Linked DNA regions of Sus scrofa. The protein of the gene in region 3 purifies or fractionates together with the protein of the main gene of each other region. This does not show direct contact. Links are inferred from orthologs where the notes say so. Each region holds a gene or a part of one and is shown on either strand. Other genes may lie near its edges.

What was found.
Region 1: the proteins of FBXL4 (region 3) and BNIP3 purify together in Homo sapiens (affinity purification with western blotting; 4 studies listed by BioGRID, with this or other methods). This does not show direct contact. The link is inferred for Sus scrofa from reciprocal best matches to the Homo sapiens genes FBXL4 and BNIP3.
Region 2: the proteins of FBXL4 (region 3) and BNIP3L purify together in Homo sapiens (affinity purification with western blotting; 4 studies listed by BioGRID, with this or other methods). This does not show direct contact. The link is inferred for Sus scrofa from reciprocal best matches to the Homo sapiens genes FBXL4 and BNIP3L.

Annotation. Positions count from the first base shown.
Region 1 is NC_010456.5:140,369,152-140,373,202, reverse strand, and holds the start of BNIP3 (BCL2/adenovirus E1B 19 kDa protein-interacting protein 3), read left to right. Parts: upstream 1-1,251; 5' UTR 1,252-1,452; coding exon 1,453-1,498; intron 1,499-4,051. UniProt on the Homo sapiens protein: Apoptosis-inducing protein that can overcome BCL2 suppression. May play a role in repartitioning calcium between the two major intracellular calcium stores in association with BCL2.
Region 2 is NC_010456.5:10,317,209-10,321,817, forward strand, and holds the start of BNIP3L (BCL2/adenovirus E1B 19 kDa protein-interacting protein 3-like), read left to right. Parts: upstream 1-1,479; 5' UTR 1,480-1,585; coding exon 1,586-1,682; intron 1,683-4,609.
Region 3 is NC_010443.5:65,910,866-65,914,868, reverse strand, and holds part of FBXL4 (F-box/LRR-repeat protein 4), read left to right. Parts: intron 1-3,206; coding exon 3,207-3,552; intron 3,553-4,003. UniProt on the Homo sapiens protein: Substrate-recognition component of the mitochondria-localized SCF-FBXL4 ubiquitin E3 ligase complex that plays a role in the restriction of mitophagy by controlling the degradation of BNIP3 and NIX mitophagy receptors.

The DNA.
Region 1 (4,051 bases), on a different chromosome or scaffold from region 3:
TGCTGGAAGCTGTAGAGGGTTCCACATGGGGAAGGAAAACCAGGTGCCACTGTCTTTTCGAGGACTTATAAAAAACTTCAGTGAGCTTAGCAGGTTGCAAGACGTGATGACACTAAAATCCATATTCCTATATATTTTCAAAAAGCAATCAAATGAGATTTAACAACGGTAGTCACCATAACATTAAAAGTATGAATATTTAGAGATGCCTCTGACAAAAGATGTGCGAGCCCTGAACCCTGACAACTGCAAGATACTGCTGAGAAAAAAGTCAAAGAACACCTAAATGATGGCCAAACACAGGGTGTCTGTGGGCCCTAAGGCTCAATACCGCAGCTGCTTCCCCAGGAAGAGGGGCCGAGGAGCTGGGAGGGGCGCCTGGGGAGGGCTGGGGTGGGAACACTGAGAGACTGCAATTCGCGCCTCTGCAGGGACACGCTGTTCTGTTTGTTCCTGGCTGCACCCAACTAGAATGCCGCTGGGACAGGGGCGGCGTGGGCTCCACGCACCATGAGCAAGTGAAAATGAGAAGGACAGTCAGCCTGAAAGCAAGGCCAGCTCCTGGACATCCAGAGAGAAAGCAAGATTGATGCCCCTCTCATGAGCATCCGCCGCGTCCCTGCGATTGGCTAGGGACGCAAATATTGGTCCTATCTGTCTTTCTCTGGTTGGTCCTGAGCTGGAGGCAGGGACCGAAGTCGGGGAAGCTGTCATCGCTGATCAAGTCCTGGCCATTTAGGCCTTGTGGTCACAGGGCTGATGTGCGGCATCCCAGACCTGTTGCCAGAGATTCTGATCTGACTTCCCGCCAGGCTGACGTACAAAAGGCGGTCAACTGAGAGGGGCGACCGGCTGGTGGCCTCAGGACGCCGGCCAAACTGCCAGCGCCGCCTTCGGCTGGCTGCCCCGCCTCCCTTGCTCTCCTCCCCGCGGTCAGAGGGAGCGCGGTCAGGCCTCAGGCAGTATCACCGACGCCCAGGCCCCGCCAGGCCCCGCCTCCCGCCGGCCTAGGTTTCTCCGCGGGGCCCGCACGTCCGACACGCACCTGCCGGTTTCCCACGCCTCGCCCCCCAGGGCGCGCGCTCCCGGCCCGGGTCTCCCCGCCCCGCCCCGCGCCCCGTCCCGCCTGCGCACGCGCAGCCCCCTCCGCACCGCCCGGCCAGCGCACGCGCGCTCCACTCCTCAGGCGACCCCTCCCCCGCCCCCGCCCCGCGCACGCGTCGCACGCGCCGCACGCGCCCTCGAAGGCCCCGCCCCGCGGCCAATGGGCGGCGCCGCCGCTTCGCCGCCGCTTATCCGCCGTGCGTCCGCCGCCAGCGTCAGTCAGTCGGGCCGCGGGCCGACCGCGCTCGAGCTGCTAGGCCCGCGCCGCCGCCGCCGCCGCCACCGCTGCCGCCTCCCCCCGTCCCTCTGCGGCCGCAGCTCGGCTCCGGCCCCCGCCGCCCCGCCGCCATGTCTCAGAGCGAGGCCCCCGGGCTGCAGGAGGAGAGCCTGCACGGTGAGCGGGCCCGGGCGGCCTGGTGGAGGGGCTGCGCGGGGACCCCCGGGAGGCCGGGCGCCGCGGGCTCGGGGCGCGGCGGGTGCAGCCTCCCCGGACGGCAGAGGCGCAGCCCAGGGCCCGTGCCGGTACCGGCGAGCAAACGCCTGGCTTGCGGGTGGAGTTCGTGGACGTGGTTGCAGCGTCGTCGGCTCGGTCCGGAGGCGCGGCTGGGGGACGTGGGCTGCCGGGGCTGCCGGGGGTGCGGGGCGCCGGTCAGCGTCGGGGGGCCGCTTAGACACGGCGGGGGCGCGCCGCCAGCTCTTCCCTGAAGCTCAGGTTCTCTCGTCCTGGGGGTCGTTCCAAAGCCAAGCTGGACGCGGACTGGTGGCCGGCGAGGCGGGGACCCCCTGCCCCTCCCGGAAAGCGGGCTCGCGGGGTCCGGCCTCGCGGTCCTGTCCCTGGGGAGCCCCGCGGCCGCGGGCTGGAGGAGGGGCCGTGCGCGCGACCTTTGGATCCTCTGAAGCAAGAGTTTAGGCAGCGGGAGCACGTAAATAAGTTTGGAGAGGACCGTCGAAACCTTTGCGGGTGCATTTTTAAGTTTTTGAAAACCTTTTTGTTATCTGAACTTAGCCACATTTTCTTACGCCTTCCAACAAGCTTTTCCTAAGTAAGACTCGGTGTAATGCGTTGTATAATGTGCATTTAGAACTAAGACGACAGTTTAAAAATCCTGTCATCTCATTAAATTTCAACACTGCTTATCTTCTTGGAAACAGGTTGAGATTGAATCTGTCTTTTCTCACCACCGAGGATGCCGTGGTCACTCGTCTACGCTTCTGACCTCGTGCTTTGGTGGTTGAGATTTGTGTCTGGAAGGGTTCTAAGCGCCCAGAGCCCCCATCTCCGTTCCTTGATTGACACACCAAACTGCTGAGTCATTGGCAATGCAGAAGGCCAGCTCCCAAGTTAAAAGATTTGTTTTTCTGTTTTGTTTATTCTATAAAAAGACAGTTGCAGGCCGAGTGGAAACTCCTGCTGGGCTCTTTGGGCTCCTCTCGGGTACGTGCTGTGGGGCACTTGCTCAGGGTCCTGCCCAGAGGGTCACATGGGCCCCGGGTCCGCCCTGAGAAACGTGAGTCCCCGCCCGGGTTGGTGGCGCCTGTCCTCAGCTCTGTTTTGGTTTGACTGCCTCTTGTTTACCTTGGAAAGAACGCTGAGCCTTGGTAGCCCCACCGACGGACAGCAGCACGCGTTCTCCCCTCTGCTCCCGCCTTTGACTGGGTGTCTCCCGAGTTCACAGCCAAGCTGATGGCTCCCTCTGGACTCCTGGTCCTTCCCGCTCAGAGCTCTTGACTGGCAGCTCGACCTTTTCCTCAGATAAACAGCTGCTAGAGTGTGTGTGGGGGGGAGACTTACTGTCCTGGAGAACGCCCTCCCTGCTCTGCTGGGGCCTGACCAGCGCCGTGAGGTGCCCTGGGGTGCCCGAGGCCGCCCCAGCCCTTCTCCTGCAGCCCTAGGGTTCTGCTGTCACCAGCAGCCCACCAGGGGCCCGGGCGCATGGAGAGGAAGGTGAGTAGCGCATGTGTCCGGTGCAGTAGGGTGACATTTCAGACACTAGGTCCTGGCCCAGAGAGGAGTGAATGAGGCCGCAGTGACTTCTCAGGGCCGCCTCCTTTGGGTGCTGGTGGGCGGCTTGGAGCCTCAGCGACAGGGCGCTCGCCAGGCAGGCGGAGGGTGCGACTAATCAGCTCCTGCTTCTTGGAGCCTCGGTGACCTGCCTGGTCGACTTCCCGGTTCATCAGGCCTCTGTCCTGTCCCACCCAACTTGAGAAGCTTTTTAAAACTGTCACTTCGTAAAACCCCAGCTGGTTCGGGTGGTGGTTGCCTGCAGGCTTAGTGAGCCGCTCTGCCTGGGATGGGGGCGCTTCTCCGGGGGCCTCTGTGACCTCGATCCCATTGTCTCCTAGGAACTTGCCTAGCAGTTTTCAAACCTTCATCACCGCAAGAGTTTTTGCAAAGGAAATGCCCCGACTGGGTTCTGACCCAGCCTTCCGAACCGGGGGTGGGACTCCAGAGAGCGGGGAGGGCACCGCAGGCGGTCCTCGGTAGCCTGGGTGGAGGCCTGCCAGCCCAGACCAGGGTGCGGGGGCTCTGGGACCCAGGGCCTGGCGTCTCACTGTGGAGGCAGGACTGTGGAGAAAGGGGTCACAGTTTGTGTTTTAACAAAACGAATGAACATCAAGACGGGCTAACAAGTCTAAGGCTTGTCAGCCCCTTTTGTGATGTGACTTCGAATGAGCAGCCGAGGCTGCTCATCCTTCTCACCTGCCATGCTCACCTGCCCTGTGTCCTGCTGTGTGCGTGGTAGGCAGGTGTGGGCAGGGGCCCGAGTCTGGGCAGAGGTATCACCACCTGTTTTTTCTGAGGCCTCATTGTACCAGTGACTTGACAGGTTATTTGTGCTGCTGAGGCGGTGCCGTGAAGCAGCCTGGCTCCCATCTTTCTGGCCCAGGAAGGCGAGGGCGCTCGTGACTGCAGGTGGAAGGGGGTCAGTGGCAACCCTGGCTTCCT
Region 2 (4,609 bases), on a different chromosome or scaffold from region 3:
TTGTGGTCGCCAAGGTGAGGGAGGGGGAAGGAGAAGGATGAACTGGGAGTTTGGGGTTAGTAGATGCAAACTATTACCCTTGGAATGGAAAAGCAATGAGGTCCTACTGTTACAGCACAGGGAACTATATCCAATCTCCTGGGACAGACTATGATGGAAAAGAACATAAAAAAGAATGTACTTATATGTACAACCGAGTCACTTTTCTGACAGCAGAAACTGGCACAACGTTGTAAATCAACTATACTTTAATACAAACATTTTAAAAAACTTAGGATAGAATAAGGAGGGATATCAGCCTGAATGGTATACAACTTTGTAAATATGTCGATTATCTCCCCAAAGTTCATCTGAAGAGTAATTAGTCATGAAAAAATTTTTAAAGACAAAAAAGGAGGTCCTTTCTCTAATATTTATCTGATAGAGCTACTGTAGAGAAACCTGAAATGGACTCATTTAGAATTTGATAGAGGTGCCATTTTGGTGTGAAAAGGATGACTCAAAAATTAATATTGTTGGGTCAATTGGGAACAACTGAAGTTAAGCAATTCACAACACATAAAAATAAATTTCAGATGGATTAAGGGTATAAATACAAAAATTAAACCTATAAGAAAATTATAAAAATATATAGGGACTGGATTCAGTATCTTGCTGTGAGGGTGTTCCCAAGGCATATGAAAATAATAGATGTGATTGCCTGAAAATTTTAACTTCTGAGGAATGAAACAGGGTTAAAGGACAAGCGATAGGCTGAGATAAATGCCACACATAAATGAGACCAAGGAAACGACAAGTCATGGAGATACGAAGCAGGGCGAGTGTTCTGGAACATAGTTTACTGTCACTCACGTATAAGAAACATGGCTTCCCATGTTATGTCCTAGAAATTGTTAAGTGATGGAATGTGGATGATTGTTTTCTTCTCTATGTTTTCCTGAACTTTTCCATCTTTTTAAAACAAAGATTGCGTGGGGTCTGTAATGAAAAATTTTTGCATTATTTAACAACTAGAAAGTCTGGCCTGCCTTTATTGTTCCCTGCCTGGAGTGTCAATGTTCCACCAGCTTTATTTTAGGTTTACGACGGGGAGGCACCAGGGCTTCTTTTGCTTTCTTTGTGTCAGCACAATACCTATTACTGACTGAGTCCTTACAGATATTAAAAAAGAAATGCTCACAGATTGGATAAAACAATGTTGATACTGTAGGTGTGGGAGATTTGGGCGCCAGCGCCTGAGCGCCTTGCACTTCCTCATGACACACTTGTGCCCATCCTCTATCCTGGTTCCAGCCGCATACCTCACTCCATCCGGCCAATACAAATGACATGCAAGAATTCATTCCTGGCGCGGGCGTCACCGTGACTCGCGCGTCTCCAAGTCCGTGGCTCTCCTGGGCACGCCTGCGCCCCGCCCCGTCGCCAGTTGTGTTGTCATCACGTGGCTGGGGCGGGCCCTGACGTCAGGGGCGGGGGAGGGACTGCGCAGGCGCAGAAAAGGGGGCGGGGGACTCGGCTTGTTGTGTTGCTGCCGGAGAACCAGAGACGGTACTGCTGCGGTCGCAGCTCTTCCAGCCGCCTGACAATGTCTCACTTAGTAGAGCAGCCGCCTCCTCTGCACAACAACAACAACAACTGTGAGGAAGGTGAACAGTCTCTGCCCCCGCCAGCCGGCCTCAACAGTAAGTGCTGGCCCGGCGGGCTCGGTAAAGGGGATGGGGGAGGAGGAGCTGCTCGGGCCGCCGCCGCCAGCTCCGCGCTGGGGGCGGGAAAAGAAGGCAGCCCATTGGTCGAGGTCGAGGATGTGCGGGTGATTGACAGCTCCCATCACCCGTCAGGAGGAGTTGCTCTTATCTTCCTCCTGACCTCTCTCTTTTCCCTTCTGAGTTCTTGGGTGATGGGCTGTTGGGTTCGCCTTTGGGAAGGGTAGGTGGGTGGGAAGATCAGGGGGTCGAGCCGATCGCACCTGTGGTGAGCCCCTGAGTGCAGCCAATCGGGGCGTGGAGGGGCGGGCCTTGGGGCGCGGGGAGGGAGGGTGGGCGGAGCGGGCCGCCTAGGGGACGTGGGCAGGGATGGGGACGTGCGACGGGGACGCCGGGGGATGGACGCAGGCGCCGGTTTTAGGGGAGGGGGCGACCGAGGGACTGGCGGGTGGTCCAGTGTGCAGCGGAGCTTGGGCCAGGCCCGGTGACCACCCCTCACTGGGTCGGCCTTCCCTCCAGGGCTCGGAACGTGAGCCCTCTTGTTGCGTCCCTTTGTTAGCACAGACTGGTTAGGAAAATTATTTGGTAATTTAGTGGTTACTTGTATCACGTGAGGGGGGGTGAGGAAGCTATGATACTTTTTTTTTGAGAGGTTTCAGAGTTGCTCAAGTAATTTTTTTTTTTTTAAACGATGAGGTTATTTGCCCTGTAAACCTGATTATGAACAGCTCTTGAACCATCCAAGATCGCACAAATCACAGTGACTGGGGCAATGAATTTCGTACACCGGGGCAGTTGAAAGTTAAGGGCAGTATCGAATTACGACCAACTACAGTTGCTTTTCCTAACATCCTGGTGCTTAGACATCACGTCCTAAGGTTATTTCCAGTTGTCTTTAAAGCTGGCTGCAAGTCTTGGAAAGGTTCTTGCCTAACCTTCCTGTAATTCATCTCCTGGAAGAGGTGGTTGGGACAGTTAGCATATGGCCAGATGAAGTCGTTTAAAAATCATTTGGATGCTTAAATGACATTCAAAGGCACTTAAGTATCTTTCATCCTAGGGAGGTGTTTCAGCATGGCCTAAAAATTTTAGGGAAGCGAGTTCCTGTCCTCACAAGATGGGGATAGAATTTGAGTATTTTCAAGATGTTTTCATTCCTTATTGCTGCTGCTCCTTCTGATGGATAATTCCTTAAATGTTGACTTTTAAAAACTTTTTGAAGTGTTCTAGAACGTAAGGTTTATATATTAATTCCTACAGTAAATTAGGGTTAATGTTTGTGTCTTTAAACATTACTTGCTTCAAATATGAATATGCATTTTAACATTACTTACCAGTTTTTAGCCTCCTCTTTTAGAAGGATGTGGTTTTAGGATGAGAAGAAACTTTAGAGGTAACTGTCTACTCTTATTTACTGGTAGAGAAAGAGGCCTAGAGTAAAGTGTGTTGTCCATGTTCACAGCAGGTTATGTCCTAAAGTGGAGGTTTTACTTTCACCCCGTCTGGCATTCCTTTCAGGACACATCTTTTCAGGGGCCCACTATCCCCTGATTATGTGTGTTTCTTATTCTCTGTTACCCTACCTGTTATTTAGAGGTAGCCTGCTGATCTGTCTCTTTTTAGTACACTGTTTCCTAATTGTATTCCAGTTTTCCTATGATACAAGTTGGTTATTTGGTTAATATGTATACACAATTTCACAGAAAGTGAAGGGATTTTTATTTTCTTTTGATCATGTGACAGGAAAATGGGGATGAGCTATATGGGATGGTTTTTCTCCATGTCCTGACAGACCTATGTTTGATGTCCTTGGCCAATCAGTTGCTGCTCCATTTGTATTCAGTCTTACAGAAGTGGAAGAACACTCAGCCTGTGTGTGCTATCAAAATGTTGCACATTTTGGGAAGTCTGCTACATAGAAAGTATTTTATTTAAGCTAGGGTGAGCTGCTTTTCAATGTTACTGAAAAGCTTTTAGATAGTGCCATATTTCATTACTTTCCTCATGCCTTTTACTGTTTTTTTAGCTCATTATACAACACTAGACTGAACAAAAACAAGCCTTATTGATTCCTTCAAGTGATTTTGGGCACTGAGCAGAACAACTTATTCAGGCATCTAATACTATCCAAATTGCTGATAAGTTGAAGTTCTTTGTTGGGTAAAGTTGCACAACTCTGAAAAAAAACAGGAGATGAACTCATTGTACAGATTATCTCTGGCTTGGGATTTTATCTTTAGTGCAGGGGTCAAAGCAGAGTTTTAATAGCAAGTTATTGAAATATTTGGAATAATGAAAGCTTTCTTTGATTTTTTTAAAAAGTTTATCCTTGTAAGGGAACTGTTCACTTTCATTACAAATTAGTGGACAAATATCTGAACTACTTCCAAAATTAAAAGGACATTTTTCAGTTGATAGTTTTATTCTAGAGAAAACTATCAGGTCACTTACAAATATTTGTATTGGGAATTTATGTCATAAAATTCAGTAAGTAATATAAGGAAAATTATGGTAATAATTTGTGCATGTTGGAATTACAGCCCTTTTTTATCTTTTTAAGCATCTACTGTGTTGCACTTGCTTCCCCAGGATGGCAAGAAGGCTTTCAAGGCCATGACACATGAAATTTCAATGCCTTATGATATTGTTTTGAACACCTAAGTGGTGTATAAGCAGGTACTTGTGCAAGAAGGTCAACCTTTTTTGAGAAGAGTATTAGTGACTGTTCTCATTCCAGATTCCAGCATCAGGTACTTGAGATGAAATAAAGGTTTTGAGGAAAGAAGATAAGACGTAATGACATGTTTCACTCCCTAGTTAGGATGAGTTACATGTGGGACCTTGAAAACTTGGGGAGAGAGTGAGAAATACTTTTTCCTTTTCTCCCTTCCCCCCACTCCCCTTCA
Region 3 (4,003 bases):
AATCCCACCAGCTCTGCTCTGGGTCTAAGGATTAAGAGTCAGGGCTGTGTCACAGAAAATTATGTGTCTGTGTGTGTATACATGCATGTATGTATTTGCTTTCTTGTTTTCACTGACTAGTTTTTAAAACTCTGGCTTTGGTTTCCTAGAATAAAAAGATATTGGCGTAGGAAATATAGCCATTATTTTATAATAACTTAAGTGGAGTATAATCTATAAAAATGTTGAATCACCATGTTATATACCTGAAACTCATATAATATTGTAAATCAACTACAGTGTAATTAAAAAAAAGATATTGGCATATTCTCTTGTTGGGTAAACATATCTCTTCCTCTCTATAAATTTAAAATAATGTATTCTAGTTCTATTAGAATTTCGAACAAAAATTCAATTTAATACAGCTACTCCAAAATCAATTTGTGTTGGTCTCATAGTTAATGTTAACTTAATTCAAATGACCACAGGCCTATAAAATACTTATTCTATCTTTTTTCCATTCTTCTTTGTTACTTCTTAGGTTATCAAAAATAAAAATAAAATATAAATAAAACATAAATGTAAAAAAACATGTTTGAGTTTTTTATATTTAGACATTTAAGAATAGTTCTAAAAACTGATGATTTGATATTCCACTTTAAGTATGCTATCACATTTAAACTTATATGTTAAATATGTAATGTTCATGATATATAAAAGTCAGAAGCAAAAATGATGCTAAAATAGCTTTAACCCTCATAGGTTTAAACACAGTAGAAATCAATTTAAAGCATCATCTTAACCTTGTCTATTCTGCAAGGTGAAGAGAGAGAGGACTTTAATAGATTAATGCATTATTACAATAGACTATTTCTGCTCTAATCAATGCTTGTGTTTAAGTTTACATTTGTAATTTTATAATGTAATTTGCATTATGATGCAGGTTAAGCTATACATGAAGAACATGTTTTGTCTGTCTTTATTTATTGCAAAGGACCTGGCAGAGGTGATTTCTATATTACATTTTCAGTGTTTCTGTTAAGCCTCATAAAAACTTCTCATTGAAGCCAAACAATAAAATAGGCTGGTTTAGTCCACGTGTTGTGAACCCGTATAGGCAGTTATTTCACAGGGTCCTGAGTGGTCCTTGTTTCTTGGACGTGAGACATTCTCCAGCATCCACTGATGTCACTTTCCAGCAGCAACGAAAGGGTGAGCAGAACCGAAAATCTGAATTTTCTCATACCTTCCACCATTTCTTGGAAATGTACTGTCCAAAACTAGGAATTCATTTTCCCACTAACATGGTTTTAAATGTCTCATACTTCTGTTCCTGTATGTCTGGCTCTGTTTAACTGTGTGGATTTTCAGTAGAACGTTCGAATCAATTCCATTGTTAGAAACTCTCAAGATTTTTGCATTTAAGCTCTAGCGGCACATCTTAGGTCTAGGCTGGCATTCCACATTTGCTTTTCTGCCTTGTCACAGGAAGTAAGAAGATGCTTAGCCTCCTTTCGTTTCCTCCTTAAATCTGCCACAGCCTGCGCTATTCTTTAGAACTCTTCTTCTGCCTCCCAAGGTTGGTTATAGAGCAGAACCAGCCTCTCCATTCCTGCATTCGCATTGTCTCCAAGTACAAATACTCACAGGCTCTTTATGTCTTTATTCCTAGTTTTCAGGAGAGAAGTAGCAAATGTAGCAAATATGGGGTGATTAGGATCTGTTAACCGTAAAATTCCTACTGTTACGGTTGGTGAGATGTTTACTGGAATCCCCATGGAGTTTATGCCTTATGCTTTTATACCTAAAGGTGGAAATTACCATACTTACCTTCTCCGTTCTTTGGAGATTTGTGCTTTATGCCTTTCTTGCTCCTGTCTTGGCCTAAAGACCATTATGGTAGTTGTATGTTGCTGACTTCTATAGTCTTGGCTCAGATTTCTCCCCTGAGTTTCACACTCTTGTCTATTTCAGTTTCCTAAATGCCTTGCTGTCATCAATTTTTGCTTAGATCTCAATAGGCCTTTGGGCCAAGGAAATGAACTGAGAATATATTGGAGGGGGAAAAAAAACCTTTAAAAATGAAGAATAGTTTCAGTGATCATTCTTATACAGTGTTGGCATAAACTTCTTTGAAAGCAGTTCATAGGATGTATTGGGAGACTTAAGTGTTCTTAGCCTTTGATATAAAATCTTTATTTAAATATTCTGATAACTAAAGTAAATAGAGGGGAGAGATGTTCATTTAAATATTTTTGTCTATGTCTTTAATTATCTCTGATATATTCAGAAAAATATTAGAGAACTGGGTATTTATACCATATATATGAGAATGTTATATACCTAATGATGCTGTGTTGTGAAGAATCTTTAAATAATTTTGGAAAACAATTTTATAAGAAGACTGATATAAAGAGATAGAATATAAGTTATGTCAAGAAGAATAGATGGGCAGATAATTACAGGTTAGCTGTTTCATTGGCGGGGAGGCAACATGAGCACATACCTTTGTGTGGAAATAAGTTTATTATCTGGAAAGTAATGATCAGCCTGGCTGAAAAGTGGAAGTTCGTTTTGGGGGAATAGGAGAAGATGTTACTCACCTGTCGTATGTTAGATATTGGCCAGGTATCCCCACGAGGATACAAGGAGGCCCAGAAGATGACAATAATGGATATTTAGGAGAGGGGCAGTATATAAGAGACAATTTCTTGAAAAATGTGATAAAACTTAATGACTGGATAAGGGGAAATCAAAGATAATGAAAGTGTTGAGTGTGTATGATGCCAGTAACAAATAGTAAAGGGGAACTTGGTGAGGCACGGTGATCAGTTTAGCTCCCACTGTGGGTTTAGGGCACACACACAGGAGAGCTTTCAACTGTGTGCTTTACTACTTCACGTTTACTCTTTCTGTAAAACTGAATGTTGTTCAGAACCTCTGACTACCATTTCAGGTCTTAACTAACCAAGGTGAAAGCTGCCAAAACATGACTTTCTAGGGAGCTGTAAAAATAACTTAAATAGTGAAAGTATTTTGAGTAATAAGGTCTATGGCATTAGGTTTTAAATTTTTTTTCATGTCCTGGAAATAATACTTGGTTTGATTCTGTTCACCGTGTTTAATGCCTTTGCTTCACACTATAATGTATTGGGCTGGGCCCCTAACCTTAATAACAGTAAATCTCATTCTAAACTGTATTATAGGGGAGTTTTTTTCTTTGGCAGATGGGAGATTCTTTGGTCAGAGAAACCTACGAAGGTGAATGCTTCCCAGGCTCGCCAGTTTAAACCTTGTATTAAGCAGATAAATTTCCCCACAAATCTTATACGGCTGGAAGTAAATAGTTCTCTTCTGGATTATTACACTGAATTAGATGCAGTTGTATTACATGGTGTGAAGGACAAGCCACTGCTTTCTCTCAAGACTTCACTTATTGACATGAATGATCTAGATGAAGATGACTATGAAGAAAAGGATGGTTGTGGAATGGACAATCTGAACAAAAAGTTTAGCAGTATTGCCCTCAGGGAAGGGCCAAGTAATGGATATTTTGATAAACTACCTTATGAGGTAAGCCAGATATTCACTAGCAATATTCGACATACTATAATTTTTAAATGTTTATATATCAATGTTTATTTTGCTAGAGAAATAGGAGCATTAGCAAGGTGCACATAATCTGTTGTATTGTGTATTTTGATTTTGGAAAAACTAGACAAAATTGTCTTAAGTAACTTCACTGCTTTTGTTTTTTGGCTTGATTTTAGTGATCCTGGGTAAACTTTTAAGTATATGTTATCTTACCACTGATTTACAATAACCAGAATGCATAAACCAATAATAAATTACACTCCACTTTAATTCCTAATTACACCATGTAAGTATGGGCAATATGTACTTGACTTGATACCAGTTATGTTAAAGATGATTTGCTATTAAAAATAAGAGTATTAGTAAGATTGCGAGAGGAATGCTGATTCTCTTTAACAGTACGCAGTTTCTCCAAGTGTCATTTACTCTT